Linked DNA regions of Caenorhabditis elegans. The protein of the gene in region 3 purifies or fractionates together with the protein of the main gene of each other region. This does not show direct contact. Each region holds a gene or a part of one and is shown on either strand. Other genes may lie near its edges.

The links.
Region 1: the proteins of C28H8.7 (region 3) and Y47G6A.18 fractionate together in Caenorhabditis elegans (co-fractionation; one large-scale study listed by BioGRID). This does not show direct contact.
Region 2: the proteins of C28H8.7 (region 3) and F47G3.3 fractionate together in Caenorhabditis elegans (co-fractionation; one large-scale study listed by BioGRID). This does not show direct contact.

The regions. Positions count from the first base shown.
Region 1 is NC_003279.8:3,510,042-3,515,182, reverse strand, and holds the start of Y47G6A.18 (Golgi phosphoprotein 3 homolog sauron), read left to right. Parts: upstream 1-2,449; 5' UTR 2,450-2,523; coding exon 2,524-2,568; intron 2,569-3,735; coding exon 3,736-3,996; intron 3,997-4,462; coding exon 4,463-4,891; intron 4,892-5,141.
Region 2 is NC_003284.9:2,373,737-2,378,877, reverse strand, and holds the start of F47G3.3 (KIF-binding protein), read right to left. Parts: upstream 2,894-5,141; 5' UTR 2,882-2,893; coding exon 2,837-2,881; intron 2,789-2,836; coding exon 2,558-2,788; intron 2,168-2,557; coding exon 2,062-2,167; intron 2,014-2,061; coding exon 1,844-2,013; intron 1,800-1,843; coding exon 1,437-1,799; intron 1,079-1,436; coding exon 916-1,078; intron 867-915; coding exon 700-866; intron 421-699; coding exon 226-420; 3' UTR 1-225.
Region 3 is NC_003281.10:5,884,789-5,889,929, forward strand, and holds C28H8.7 (uncharacterized protein), read right to left. Parts: upstream 2,206-5,141; 5' UTR 2,169-2,205; coding exon 1,959-2,168; intron 1,828-1,958; coding exon 1,687-1,827; intron 1,635-1,686; coding exon 1,404-1,634; intron 1,329-1,403; coding exon 1,059-1,328; 3' UTR 988-1,058; downstream 1-987. Other genes in the region: C28H8.5 (ShKT domain-containing protein), read left to right, coding at 85-268, 481-614, 667-770, 865-987; C28H8.8 (uncharacterized protein), read right to left, coding at 2,316-2,680, 3,065-3,272, 3,322-3,444, 3,488-3,622, 3,925-3,987.

The DNA.
Region 1 (5,141 bases), on a different chromosome or scaffold from region 3:
GGATTTTAGTTTTTCTGAAATTATCATCCTTTAATCCTTCTTTTGGTAATTTATCTCGCGGAAATTCGTTGATTGAGACAACTTTTAGGCCGATAGGCATCCAATTTTTATCATTTTTGGATGCCTATAGGTCTAAAAATTGTCTCAATCAACCAATTTCCGCGAGATAATCTACCAAAATAAGGATTAAAGGATGATAATTTCAGAAAAAACTAAAGTCCAGCGGCTGTGACAAAGAAAAGCCAGCGAAATTTCAGATTTTAGCAAAATTTGACTCTTTTTTTTTTCGAAATTTTGACCCGCCATAAAAGTTGTTTGAAAATTTTTTGTGAAGTCTCATTATGAAATTCGGTAATTTTAGACCAGTTTTAGTCTATTTAAACAAAATACTCACAAACTCTACTCCCCCTTTAGAAGTTGGATTTTTCATTCTTTTCGTTTTTCTTTTAAAGTTTTGCTAAATTTGAGACTATTTCAGATTTTTTGAATCTTTTTAAAAATATTCCGGCTACTTCACCTTTGAATAACGAGATAACTAGAAGCCAAAATCACATTATTCTATTATTTCACTCAGAACGTTCACTTCTTTATGCGCACAGAAAATTCACGGCAAAGTATGTCGCCGTCGTCCGTCCGTCCGCTTCGTCACCATCCTTCTCTCTCCTCCGGCGGTCTCCATCATCCGGCTCGTCCCTTCTGTGTCTCTGTGGTCTCTTCACTCTCTCTGTCCCCAACGCCACGTTTCTTCTCTCGCGTCTCTCCACACTTCTCGCCTCTCCTGGTATTTTCAATCGAAACGCTCTTCTCCCGATACTAGCTTTCGCCCGTGCGTCGCTGTCGATTCATTACATTTATTCCAATGATTTGATGTTTTTTGAATCTACAAGAAATTAAATTTTCGAGCTTTTCCGAGTAATCTCTCGAGTTCCAATCAATTATCACCCCTGCTCTTCCTTCTTCCATTTTCCATGATAAAGCTTCACAGCAACGCCCTCTGATAAGCATCTATAAACTGTACAAACCTTTTTTTAAGTACCCAGTTCTCCAGTATTAATATAATTTTGGCTGTTTTTTTTTGTGGAAATGTTGGTGGCAGTTAAAGCTTTGGAGAGCAGCCCCAGAAAAAAGCTGACCAAACAATGGCTCTTTCCCTGCTCACATGGAAAAGCTTGCTCGCTTGTGATGTAATATTTCGTTTTTAGGCGATAACAACTGTTTTATAATTTCCCTTCCGAAATTGTTGTATTAGTTGGAGTTTGCCGACCAGTAATTCTGTAAAATACACCTTTCCTTAGATTTTTTCTTAAAATTTATTGTCTGAAAATTGTTTTTATTTGGCTTGAAACATTAGGAAAAACGTTCGAAAAATGCCTGAAAGTTGGAGACTGCTAGAAACAAATTTCGGCAATTTTCAACTTTCAGACAATTTTTGAAAGTTTTTCCAAATTTTTCGCGTAAAATGAACGCATTTCATCGGATATTTTCCTTTAAGTTTTGTGATACAATGTAGAAAAACATTTTATTTATCTGGAAATAGCCTTTCATAAAAAAATTTCACAATTTCCCAAAAAATTTTCCAAATTTTCCAAATGTTTCGAGCAAAATAAAAGGCTATTTCCAGACAAATAAAATGTTTTTCTACATTTTATCACTAAATTTAAAGGGAAATATCCGATAAAATGCGTTCATTTTACTTGAAACCTTTGGAAAAACTTTCTGAAAGTTGAAAATTGCCTATTTTTCCGGCATTTTTCAACGTTCATGCAATTTTTGAGCTTTTTTTCAATTGTTCCAACTGATATGAAAACTATTTCCAGATGAAGCAAATTTTTATATTTCGATATTAGACTCATACAATTAAAAAAAAAATTTATTTTCTGTAAAACCTCCATAATTTTGAATATTAGTGCTGAAAATTTACTAAATCGGCAATAAATCGGTTAAAAAATATTTCTGAAACACTGAAATTTTTATTTAAATAACGATTAAAGCTCTTCGCGGCTGCCTTTCCGGAGACTAAAAAAATTGAATTTCGATTAAATCCAGTTTAAACTTCTAAAAATCGAATATCAAGCTAGATACTCATAATTTATTCCCAAAAAACACCCATTTACACCTCTTCCTCTTCCACTCCATCCGGTTTTGCGCATCATCTTCATTTGTCTCAAAAGTTTATCACTGCCAACGATCTTTTCATCTGCTGGAGGCTCCACTTTCAGACTGGTTCTTCTAGATTTAATCTACAACACAGCTTATGCTTCTCTCACTAGCCGATTTTGAATGTTTTTGGCAATTGCTAATAGGGAGAAGCAAAATGCATGGAATCTTGATTTGGAAACGAATTTTGAAATTCAACATTTAATTTACCCGAAATTTGCAACTTTTTAACGTGAAACCGAATTTTTTGAGCGAAATTTTTGTCAAATTGAAGAAATTATTGCCATTTCAGAAGTTGAGGAACGACTCGCCCAGTTAGTTGCCGACGTGTTTTTTGGATAGAATTTAATACTGTAATAATCGGATATGTCGGACGGTCAGCTGGTCCAGAGACGCAGAAAGGCTGAAGAGGTAGGATGATTTTACAGAGTTCAATGGAAAAACACGAGAGATAAAAAAAACTGAAAAAGATGAAATTTTCAACTTAAATTACCTCTGTGTAATGTTTAAATTAAACGATTAATCCGTGAATTTTGCAGAAACAGCGTCGCACGGAAAAATAAGCGGAGCTTAATTTCGCAACCCTGCGGCGCGGTTTTTTCAATTTTTCAAACAAAAAAATTCGATTGAAAATATTATCGAATTTAGTTCTCATAAGACTATGAGGATATTTTTGGTTGTAAAAACATTTTTCTTCAGGAAAAGTAAGATAAAACGAACAAAATTAAAAAAAAAACCGTGCCGCAGTGTTGCGAAATTACGCTCCGCCTCTTTTTCTGTGCGACGATGTTTTTGCAAAAAAGAGTTTTCAAGAAAAAACTAATTAAAAATCAATAAAATTTCCAGCCAGTCACTGAAAAGTTGAAATTTTCAACTCAAATTTCCTCTGTGTACTGTTAAAATTAAACGATTAATCGGAAAAAGAGGTGGAGCTTAATTTCGCAACCCTGCGGCGCGGTTTTCCTGTTTTCGTATATTTTTCACGCTTTTTTTTTCAATTTTTTCAAACAAATAAATTCGAATGAAAATATTATAGAATTTTTTCCGAATAAATAGAATAAGCAAAATCGAAAAAAACCGTTCCGCAGCAGGGGTGTGCGGCAAATCTCAAAATTTGCCGAGCTCGGCAAATTCGGCAAATTTGCCGTGCTTAACAAACTCGGAAAAATTATATATTTTTTGATATTTTTTGGAGCACCAAAACTACTGAATTCTTAACACACCTCTGGTTTCTGAACAAGTTAGGTGTAGTGTGTCTGCTTAAACATCAAAATAACTCAATTTGTTATCATTTTACTAAATTTTTGGCGAAAAAATCAACAGTTTTAGTCAAAATTGTACTGTCAAATTTTTGACGTGTGCGGCAAATTTCGAAATTTGCCGAGCTCGGCAAATTCGGCAAATCTACTTTTTTGAAATTTGCCGTGCTCGGCAAATTCGGCAAATTTGCCGCACACCCCTGTTCCGCAGTGTTGCTAAATTACGCCCCGCCTCTTATTCTGTGCGGCGATGTTTTTTTCTGCAAAATTCACAGAATGATATTTCAGTTAACTAATTCAAAATCAATCCAATTTTCAGCCAGTCACCGAAAAAGTCGACGAAGCGAGCGGCGATTCAGCACAATCTTCGGATCAAGAAGACAATGACAAGGGAACCCGATTGACTTTGATGGAGCAAATCCTGTTGCTCGGCCTTAAAGACCGTGAAGGTTACACATCGTTTTGGAATGATTGCATTTCGTCGGGGCTCCGAGGATGTGTGCTCATCGAGCTTGTGCTCCGTGGACGAATTCAACTCGAGGGAGGCGGAATGAGACGCAAGAATTTGCTTAATAGAAAGGTAGTTTCAGATATAAATATTGATTACGGGAGCACAGGCTTCTGAGAATGCGTATTGTGCAACATATTTGACGCGCAAAATATCTCGTAGCGAAAACTACAGTAATTCTTTAATTCTGTTACTGTAGCGCTTGTGTCGATTTACGGGATCTCGATTTTCGAAATTTGTTATAGCTTTTTTCGAATATTGACAACAATATTCTATTTTCCTTTTTATTTTAAAGTCGAGCCCGTAAATCGACACAAGAGCTACAGTAGTCATTTAAAGAATTACTGTAGTTTTCGCTACGAGATATTTTGCGCGTCAAATATGTTGTGCAATACGCATTCTCAGAATTTTGTGGTCGCGTAATATCAATAAGAACCATCTTATCCGCCGAAAAGAAATTTTTCGAATTCAATTGAAAAAGAAAGTTTTATAGTATTATATTTCGTCCCGTGCATCGCACAAACAAACAATATTACAGGTGACTGTGAAAAGCAGCGAGCCAACTGGTGACGTCATTCTCGACGAGGCACTTCGCCATATGAAGGAGACAAACCCGCCGGAGACAGTGACCAGCTGGATTGAATATTTGTCTGGAGAAACGTGGAATCCGCTGAAACTTCGCTACCAACTGAGAAATGTTCGTGAACGACTCGCCAAGAATCTTGTTGAAAAGGGTGTTCTGACGACTGATAAGCAAAATTTCTTGCTTTTTGAAATTACGACGCATCCACTTTCGGACGGAAATCAGAAGACGAAATTGATTAAAGAAGTGCAAGAAGCGGTTCTGGGGAAATGGACGAATGATGTTCATCGTATGGATAAGAAAATGCTCTCGTTGATTGTATTGGCTCATGCTAGTGATGTTCTTGAAAATGCGTTTGCACCGCTTTCTGATCAAGATTATGAGGTAAAACAAATGCTGGAAATCCTGTTTTTTTCTGGAAAATTGGCGCATTTTGAGCCAAAAAATGTGCCTCTTTGAAGATAACTGTAATTTTAAAAATTTTTTTGCTTTAGAATTTTCATCAATTTGTTTCAATTTTTTTTTAAATTATCACATTTTTCCTTTTAAGTTTTTATTGAAAATTATTTTTAATAGAAAACTAAATTCGGAAGCAACGAATATTTATAACTACAGTACTCTTTGGCAAAGATGT
Region 2 (5,141 bases), on a different chromosome or scaffold from region 3:
TGAAAACAGGTATTGTTTCAAAAAGTAACGGATGAGATGCAGAAATACCAAGGGAATCAATAAAAAAGAGTATTCAGGAATGCATGCACAAAAACATGAAAAGGAAACATTATTGTAAATGCTCCTTTTAACAAAACGACTCATAGTTGGAAATCTATAACAAAAAAATGTGAAAACTGGTGAATCAAATGGTGATGTCGAACGAATGCATTGGCTTTCTATCAACTAGTCATCCATGTTATCGTCTGCAAGATGTTCGTCAGGAGAGGGTCCTGAAGCGTCCATTGCACTTGTTACAGGCTCGGATGAGTTACTGTGCTTTCCCAACATCTCACTAGTTTTGCTCAGAAGCTGGTTAGCCTTGTCGAAAATAGTTTGCTGGTCCTTTGTTCTTCTATTGTCAAAGCATGCGTCAATAATCTGAAAATAGAATAAATTTTTTGAAAGTTAAGTACAAAGTTGAGTTCGTACATATTCCATTTTACGGTAATTTTAACAACTTTTCAGCGCCCCGAATTAAAAGCTTCTGTCAATAAAGAATTTAGGAAAAAACTTGTTAGCAAGCAAGATCAAATAGAAGCCTCCAAAAAATGGCGAGCTAGGATACTAGTGATGGTCAAAACTTTTAGAAAATACCGACACAAGAAAAATTTATGAATTTTGGCTTAGGACTTATCGCCGCCCTAAAGTATTCCTTACCGACTCCAGATACTGATAGATTCCCATTTCAACCAAGCTTGTTTCACTCAAATTTTCAAAATTTGAAGTAATCAATTCAAGAACGTCATTGATAGCGATTTGAACATTTGTATAGTGATAAGAATAGTCCGACGCCTGCTTGATGTCCAACGCTGTTTGCTCTTTGGCTGAAATTGAATACGATGTACGGTGCACAAGCGCCTGATTTCGACTTACCTTCTTGCTCACCAACAATGAATTTAGCGCTCTGGAAAATGGAGGCTCTCATCACATAATAATATCCATAATCAATGAAAAATGCAGAGTCCATTTGATGTCCATCTTGTGGATCGCTTCTCTCCAATTTTTGGATCATTCCAATTCGTCTATTGAGTGTCAACTGAAATTATTGAAATTGTTTGCCGAATAGGATTCTGTAAAATCAATATGAATTTTTCCAGTACATTTTTTGACATATTTCAGAGCCCCCAAACTTATTCAAAGGTTGAGCTGTGCCACGGTGCCAAAAGGATCAGATATTATAGTAAAACATTTTGAAAATTTATCGACCCAAACAACTGTTTTTCTACCATTTTCACACTTTAGTGTCAAAATATTCTAGAGGTCGGAAAATGCGACCTTGCTCTGGATTTCCTTAAAAGCTTTGATAGAAAATTTGAGAAAGTCTAAAATTTTGTGGTCGTTTTGTATCATGATGAATGTATTTAGACAAAACTTTCATAATATGAAAATCTTACCTCAACCTCACCAAAAACTTTCAGAGCACTCTTCAAGTTCTCGTCAAAGTTCTCGTTGTTTGCAAAGAACAACACCTCATTTCCATGCTCAATGACTCTTTTGCAAATTTTTCTCAAACCGGTCCAGACTTCCGCGGTGACTGGATTGTCACAGAGATCGATGTAAGTGAGGATAGCAAAGAACGCCTCAGTTTGCTTGGAGATGTTGGCAGTAGTGTTGTTGAAGAGACGTTTTCCGATTGTGAGCAAGTTGTTTCTCAGACGGTTATTTGTGCACTTATCCGCAGCCTTCAGAAGTGCAAGACATTCTTCTTTCCAATAAGAACTGCCTTCTTGTTGGTACTCGTGGGGGTGAGCAATTTTCTGAAAACTTTATATATTGGTACATCCATATAACTCTTCCAAACCTCTGCTGCGAACAACTCCAACTCCGCATGCAGATTCATTTGTTGAAGGTATTTGATGTACATAACGCAGATATATTCGTACGCAGTGGATCTATCTGGTTTTTCAGCTGCCAAAAATTCCTCAAACAGTGCACTGATTGCATTCTTGTTTTTGACTTTTGCTGCTGGATCTGCAAAAAAACTGTGATATAGCTGTGCAAAATGGTTTTCTAAAATACCAAAAGTCTTGTGAGAGAATCCAAACATCTCATTAATCAATTTGACCAGTAGACTGTGCCAAAATCCAGACACATCGCATCCGTCGGCGAATGTTGGAATCTCGGCCTGCAAAATATATTTCTTTCGTTCTTCTTAACAGAGGAGTTATGATAACATAAGCCAAATATCATAGTAAAAATTTCCGAAAATTGTTTGAAAATTTGCGTTTCGATTTAAAAACTGGCAATAACTGAGATTTTACCACTTGTTGAGAAAACTATAGAGAAGTCATGTTGGAATCTTTACATTTTTAAATATTAATATTTGAAACTTAATTCGAAAAATATATTAATTTGTCCGATTCCAAAACAGTGGCAAAACTGGGCCTTTCAGAATTGTTTTGTTAAATTATGATATTTGGTCATTCGACTCGACAAAGTGGCTAAACTAACTCCGTTTTAAATTAGTTTTAGAACCATATTTAGTTTCTACAAACTAAAAAGTGAAACGACCTACCACAAATCTGCCCAAATGAAGCGAAACGTGAGCTTCCGCTGCCGAAAGTCTATCAGCAACGTCGTCGTCATCGTCGTTAGTTTGTGACTTTAATTTGTCCATATAACTCGATACGCTTCTGTGGAAGAAAATCAGGAACGAGTCAAAAGCCTGACAGAGATCGTCACTGAAGATCTGTAGCTTCACGTTTTGGTGCAATGTGTGCAGGGATCCCGTGAGATTTCCGAGAGTCTGAAAATAGGATTGTAATTGTAGAAAAAAAGCAAAAAATGAACTTACGATTTCGGTTCGGATAATTTCGAATTGACTTTCCATATCCGTCATTGTAACTGAAACAGGTAAGTATTTCAAAGTATATTTAAGGATACAGAAAGAGGAAAAACAATCGGAGCAAGTAGCTAAAAAAAAAGTAACATCTATCGCTCATAATTTTGGCAACTCAATTGAGGAGTTAAAAAAACCAGTGCATTTGGTAACTAATGGTAAAATCAGTAAGTTTTTACGGACGATTTGAAGGAATTAGCTTGAATAATAATTTGCATCGTCTTTCATAAGAACATCAAAATGTAGATTTTTCTGAAAATTGGAGAATTTTTTTATCTGTTTAAAAAAATATTCAGAATTTTATGCCTCTAAATTTAAATGATATTTTCATTACTTCTGCTTGTTCTGGTCCGCGACAGACTATGCCATTTAACATATCGCTGATACTCATCACTCTCGTATGTCTCTATTAGATGTTTTTCAAAATAAGGGCGAGAACTCGTATACATTTTTTGTCCGGCGAGAAAGAAAGTGAGAAATTACGAGAAAAGTGAGAAATTACGAGAAAGTAACGACATTGCTAGGGAAATCGAAAATGTTGTTAGAGATACGGAGACGCAGCAACAAGGAGATAAAAAGAAAAGAAAAGGTATTTGGGACTGAGCAAAAAGAATGATTTGTTGCGCCGAGAATGCTCTGAGAAGTATTGAAAATTATGAATAAATGCGGTGAGAAAATAAAGAAAATCTACATGTAAATACGTGAGATAAAGGAATGATTTGAGGCTCTTCGAACCATTCAAAAAACTGACCGGATAAGGAGACAATGTGCGAGAGTACACGCAAGAGAGTGGAGAGTCTAAGAAACGAGACAAACGTGCGACGAGGAACACTGCGGTGTCTCAGCGCGGCAGATGGTCTCGTCACGTTTGGAGAATGGCAAGAGGGCAAGGGGTTGAATTAGGGAAAATGTATGTCTGCTATTTTTTTTCAAAGAATAAAATTATTCGGGGGCAGATAGCTCAGTCGGTAGTGGTGGCCGCTAGCAGTCTGGAGGTCACGAGTCCGGCCTCACCCCCTAGGTTCACCCAGCCTCTATTGGGAAGTGGAGCAATCCACGACTGGATTATCGGCCACAGTCCCCGGCTAGGACGTGGCTTAAATTACAGCCCAGAGGGATCACCACCAGGCAGTGTACCTGAATCCCAGATCCGCAGTGCATAGCACTTGAAGAACGGATCGTCCTTTAATCCTTTTTAAAATGTATGTCTGCTATTTACATGGTATTCAATCGAAGAGAGCAGGTAGATCATTATTGATTTTGGGATAGTGCATCTCTATTCTAAGCGATTTTGTTGAGGTCAAAACGGGAGACGGAAGAAGAAAATAATTAATTTATTTATATGAAATCGGATGATTATCCTGTTGAACGACGTATTGGAGATCAGTAAAGGACAATTATTCGTATTTGTTCAAAATTTTCATTTTTCATAAATATCAAGAAAATGGTGGCGACAAGTAATTGGCTAAAATCCATAATTTTTTTGAGAGACGTTAAATTCAAATTTTTTAACCACCCGTTGTGCCCTAACTTGGAACCACTTTTTTGTGGCGCCTGCCCAATCTCACTTATTTTAAGCTTTGGTCTGTTTACTTGCGGATTTTTCAAGTCTAAAATACAATACTAGAATACAATAAGGGCATTGTCTAAACTTATTTTTCAAAGACATAAACTATTCAAATTCAATACGTTAGACTCAATTGTAATTGAACAAATATTATCGTGGGCCACGTTTTTTTTTTTAGTTTTTCAGGGTTTCTCGAAAGTGGAATTTTCAATCTGAGTGGTTTGTATGTTAAAAATTGCTTAAACGCGAGGGCATCAGTTTTGTATTAGAAGTCGAAGTTTTTCGACAAAATGTTTAAAAAAGATTCTTTGACGCACTTTTTATTGAACTTTTATTTAAAAAATTTTGAAACTACGGACAGATGAAAATTAATAATTGATAACTTAAACTTCCATAATTTCTAACAGTACTGATAGACGACAAAAAAAAAACAATATTAATTTTGATGCAGGACATTCTGCCATCCGTAAAAATATTTCCAACAAAGTTTTTGACAAAACATTAGGTTTTAAAAAAATAATGAAACGTGAACGTGAAACGTTGGAAGTTTGAACACATCAGTCGAGTAGAAAAAATTGCGGACATTTTTTCTCATAAACACAGTTTTCGGGCGACGTGAAAAACCTACATACTCAATTTTTATTTAAAAGTTGAATGATTATTTTTGTCAAAACTTGACGCCGGACGTTCGAT
Region 3 (5,141 bases):
TTGATACAAACACTGTTCCAATATTCATTGCGAAACTCTACATTTGGAACTCAAAGAATTTAGAAAAATACGATAAATATTTAGAGTACGACGTAAAACTCCTCCCTGCTAAACTGAAATCAATCGCTTGGATGGTTGGAAGATGGAGGTCAGAATTTGGAGGAAAAGCATTTTTCCCAACTATTCCAAAGTTTACGTATGGAGAACAAGTGGATATCACCATTGCCGATAATTCACAAGATACACATACGCCATTACTGAATTATACGTGAGTATTTTATGACATTTTTAAATCGATTAAAATTGTGCGTAAAATATAATGAATTTGATTAGAACGGAATGCATCTCAATTGACGCGCAAAATGAGTTTCACAGACTGCAAAGTCCAGTATAAGACTACTTTTATTCCTATAACTCAATCCTGCCAGAAAATGCTTAGAATTCATGAGCTCTCGCGGAAAACAAGGTATCAAATTTCAGCGCGTTCGCCTGGGATATCAATATGCCAGACGGTGATCCAACTGAAATTCATTCTGAGAACGGATATATTGCTGTTGAATATGATAAAGAGCAAGAGAAGGAATATGTCTCACTGAATACTGCAATGAGTAATGGTAGGAAGTGTGATATAATCTTGAAACAATGCCACGTTGTATTAAATTACAGGATTCATGACAATCGAGGAAGGAGAATCTGGACCGAATCAAGTGAAGTTTAGGCTGCAAAGAATTGGGAGAATCAGTTTTTCGCACGACTCTGCTGTTCGAATTGTGAGTCGAGAAAAAAAAGAAGAAAAAGAGAAAACTCGGTCACGTGTCCAAAATCAAACGATGTTGTAGATCAGTAATTTTAATATATTTTCAGATGTTCCGTGAATGGACTCTTCTCGATGAAAATCGTTTAGAAGCCCGTCTTCTAATGACCACAACAATTACAAGACGACTCATGGAGCACACGGCAGTTATTTATAAAAAGATTTATCCGTGAAAATAACGTGTGTATTATTGTTCTAAATTGAAAACATTTCCGGGTTGAAATAAAAAATATATAAAAAGTACTTAAATATACGGTGCCAAATATTTTCCCCTACACTCCTGATGTTCATAATTGACCAGAAAGAGTTCAAGATTATGAAATGAAAGAAGTACATATCGAGAATCATTAAAAATTAGTGAAAGTCCTGCCATGAGATGCTTAATTGTTTGAGAAGTTGGTGGAGCAAGGCGAATTTCAATTTGACATACAATTTGCCCGTTTTCATCCAATTTGCCCATTCTCGAGATTTCATGGAATATTTTATAATTGTTTACTTCTTCTTTAATTGAGATCTGAAAATTATAGTTTAAAATGAGTGGAAGACAGGCATGAAGATGTATCCGTTCACAGTTTTTTACAGTACTTACCAAATCGATAACCTTATGATTCACTTGAGTTTTGAGATACGTTGAAAAGTGTCCAATACCCGCCGACTCGGATTGATTCAAGTAGTTTGCCAAGGAACCATAATCCCAATAAATATTTGATGAGTTCAGGTGGGTCCCGTAGGTTTTTAAGTCCGTTGGAAGTTCATCTGTCATATTTTTCCGAGTTCTAGAATCCGTATAATTTCCAATTGTGACGAATACAAACGGCTCCTTAACTCAGATATATTATCCTTTTTTTTCTTTTCGAAAACTAAATTCTGACCTTCTTAGTGGCAATGAACATATCATAACTTCGGATACCAGTTTGATATTCCACATTTGTCTCTAATTTCATAATTGGCACATTCAAAAATATTGATGCATTTTTACATCTCTCTGTTGCAAATCTCACATAGTACCAACTCTGGAAAAATAATTTTATTTGAAAAATTGGGTCGGGCATTGTTTTCGTTATTCATTATTAAGTTTGAAATAAAACCCCAATGACGTTTCCCTACTTTTGAACTTCTATGTCTCATAAATTATTAAATTTACCTCTCGATCAACATACAAATCTTTTTCCATACACTTAACCCATTTGTCAACTTCAGTTTGAAATTTACTCTTTGTCGAATCGCCTCCACGTGGATGTTCTAGGTACCGGTCAAAATATTGTTGTTCAAACCGTTTTTGACGTGCTATATAAACTAGCAGTAGAAGAATAAGAGCAAACAGTAGTTTTATATTACGAGGATGTGGGCTCATGGAGAATTTTATATTTATTTTACAAAAAACAGAGATAGTGGTGTTTTCTATTGTGATCAGTATTGACAAGAGTCTGATTTGAATATAAATGGGAAAAGGATGATGTGGAAAAAATCAAAAAGAAAATTGGAAAAAAAATGAAATAAACTATTCAAAAAACCTAGAAAAATACTTATCAACACAAAATGGATGTTCCATATTAATCACATAAAATCGATGATGTACTGTAGCATAAGCAACCATAAATGCATATCTCCCATCTTCAATGATCGTATTCATTATGCTTAAAAATTTTGCTTTCCGTTCATCGTCAGCTTGATGAACCTCTGTGTTCATTTGACACACTACTATCCCATTTTGATCGAATTCTGCTCCGCGAGCCATCATCGGAAGGATATCGTATTCGGGTCCCTCATTGTCCATCAAAAATTGATCTATCGTGGATTCCTTTACGAATTTTTTGAAGAAAGTGATGATGTCAATGTGGGGCATCACTTGATTTATATATTTCCCTGAGATTCAATCACTAATTTTTTTTTGTAAAAATTTTTTACAAAAAAAATTAGTAGCTTTGGTCAATATTTAGTCAGCTTTCATAGTGGTAGAAAAAATGATTCTTCGAACATGTCACATGTGCTCGAAATATGTTGCATTTGGTGGGCAAACCTACATGCCTGCTTATCGTCTATGGTTCATATTTCTCAGTGAGCTTACCTTCAAAGTGAGAAAAAACAAATAGTCAAGGTCTGATTATATTTTAATTGGTAGAAATATATTGATAAAAAATCCATTTCACCTTTGAGTCAAGTCCTGAACCTGCCCAAAATTTACATTTAAAACGTGAGCCTCTAGAAACATTAGGCTGCTGAATCTATAAATATTTGAAGAAAACTAACGGTTCTTAAGCACCAACGCTGTCGAGACATCAGTTTCTTTTCCCACAGCAAATGGGAAATACGACCCAACAGGTTCGTAAAGTTCTCCGTTTCCAGTGTATATTGGATCGGCGGCATAGAATCGGGAATTCGTCGGAAGTGTTTCCTTGAGTGTTGTTTCTGCTTTCACATCCAAACCAATGCCAAGAGTTACTACTACACTTGGTTCCTGGCAAATTTTGAATTAAATTGGTTTTTTTGTGGTGGAATTGAGAAACCTGAGATGGACTGTACACATGATATTTCATCTCATCTTTGTTCTTTACACCAGTCAATTCGATTTTCGAAAATGCAGTTTCATTTCTACATTGATTAATCACACGTTTCACCCAGTACCACATCTGAAATTATGACGTCATATCAGGATCATCGTTCAATTTAAACCTCTTTTGGATCGGTTCTGCTCCTTTTCAGTTTCTCCTGAAAGCACTGTTTCCATTCGTCGGCTGCTTCCAAGAAGCGCCTGTTTTTGGTGATTGGAAGCGAAGTTTCACGACTATATGAACTCAATTGGTGTACCTGAACATCAGTTTGTAAAGATTCAATGGTAGGAAGAACAAATTTTGAGTAGCTACTAACCACAGATGTATTTACCGTACCCCACCCTAGTGCCAAATAACACTTTTGCAACATGGCCGTGAAAACAAAAAATTTGGTAGCTTCGGCAAATATAAAAACTACATGACTTTTGCATCCGGAAAATTAAAGGAAGCTCTTTTTGATAAAATTTCAAGGAAGTTTCAAAAAGATCACTGGTACAAACTAAAAACTTGTCGTTGCCTGGGGTGTTTTTCTCAAATGAAAAAATATCCAAAACTCACTTTATAATCTGGATAGAACAACATGAAAAGAACAGTGAAGCACAAAAATAGGATTATGAACATTTTGAAGTTGTGCATCCACCGTGAAGCCATATAGGACGGTTCTGAACAAATTTTCGTAGAATATAAAAAGCGTGTCTAAAAACCGTTTTTATGACTTTCTGGTACATTTCGGAAATATAAAACTGTTCTCCGAACTTATGCAAGTGTTTCGAATATTAGTACGGTTAAAGTTTCACCAGTAGTTGCATTTCCCTTTGATGACCAAAAAGAAGCAAAAACTCTAAAATCCTTGACTACTCTTGCCTACTTGTTTAAATTTTAAATGAGAAATCCGAACAATGAGAGTATAGGTAAATTATTATTTTAATATAAAATTTATAAAAATAGTTTTTCATAATTTAATAGCTAAACAATTACAAATGCGCAATTAAGAGAGTTTTTTGAAGTTTTGTGGACCACCCCACCACTGCTCAGTCTTCAGAAATAGGAAATAACTTACCATTTGTAATAACTCGAATCATAATTCTTGTCGTTTGAAAGCTTCCAAGTTAAAAAGATTTATTCCTCGAATGACTAGACTTTTTAACTACACTTGCCTTTTTGTGTCCTTTCGAATTAATTCCAACATCAATCTGTACAAACATTTCAGTTTTTCAGCATCCTGCAAACACAAGTGCCTCCCCCGTTTTTGTAAATCTTTTGATCTAATTTTTAGTTAGTTTAATTACGGTACAAAGTTCGCCGATTTAGAATTGATGTTACCGTTAGCCGTCCCACGCTTCAAACAAATATAATTTGTACAATTTTTTGGACAGTGACTATTTTAGTTTTTTTTTTTTTCAATTTTCAAATTTGCAAAATGCATGTTTCAATTTGACTTTTGAAAATATTTAAAATTAAAAAGGTCTACCTCTATTTCACTAAAAAAAACTTCACAAAAATCGTCTACAAAATAATCAAAATCATTTGTCACCTGAAACATTTTATAAAAAGTAAAATCCAATTAAAAAAATCGCACTTTATTTAAAAATTTAAAAAGTATTAGCAGGTAGTTAGATATCAAAACAAAATTGAGACAGGGAAAAATATATCAATAAGCATTTTCCTCTTCAAAATAAGTGACATCCATTGGGCATTGTTGTGCGAAGTGAGTGTTGCCCTGTATTGAATGAAATTGAGCATTTTTTAAGATAAAGGAGGGTGGGTGGGGGGAC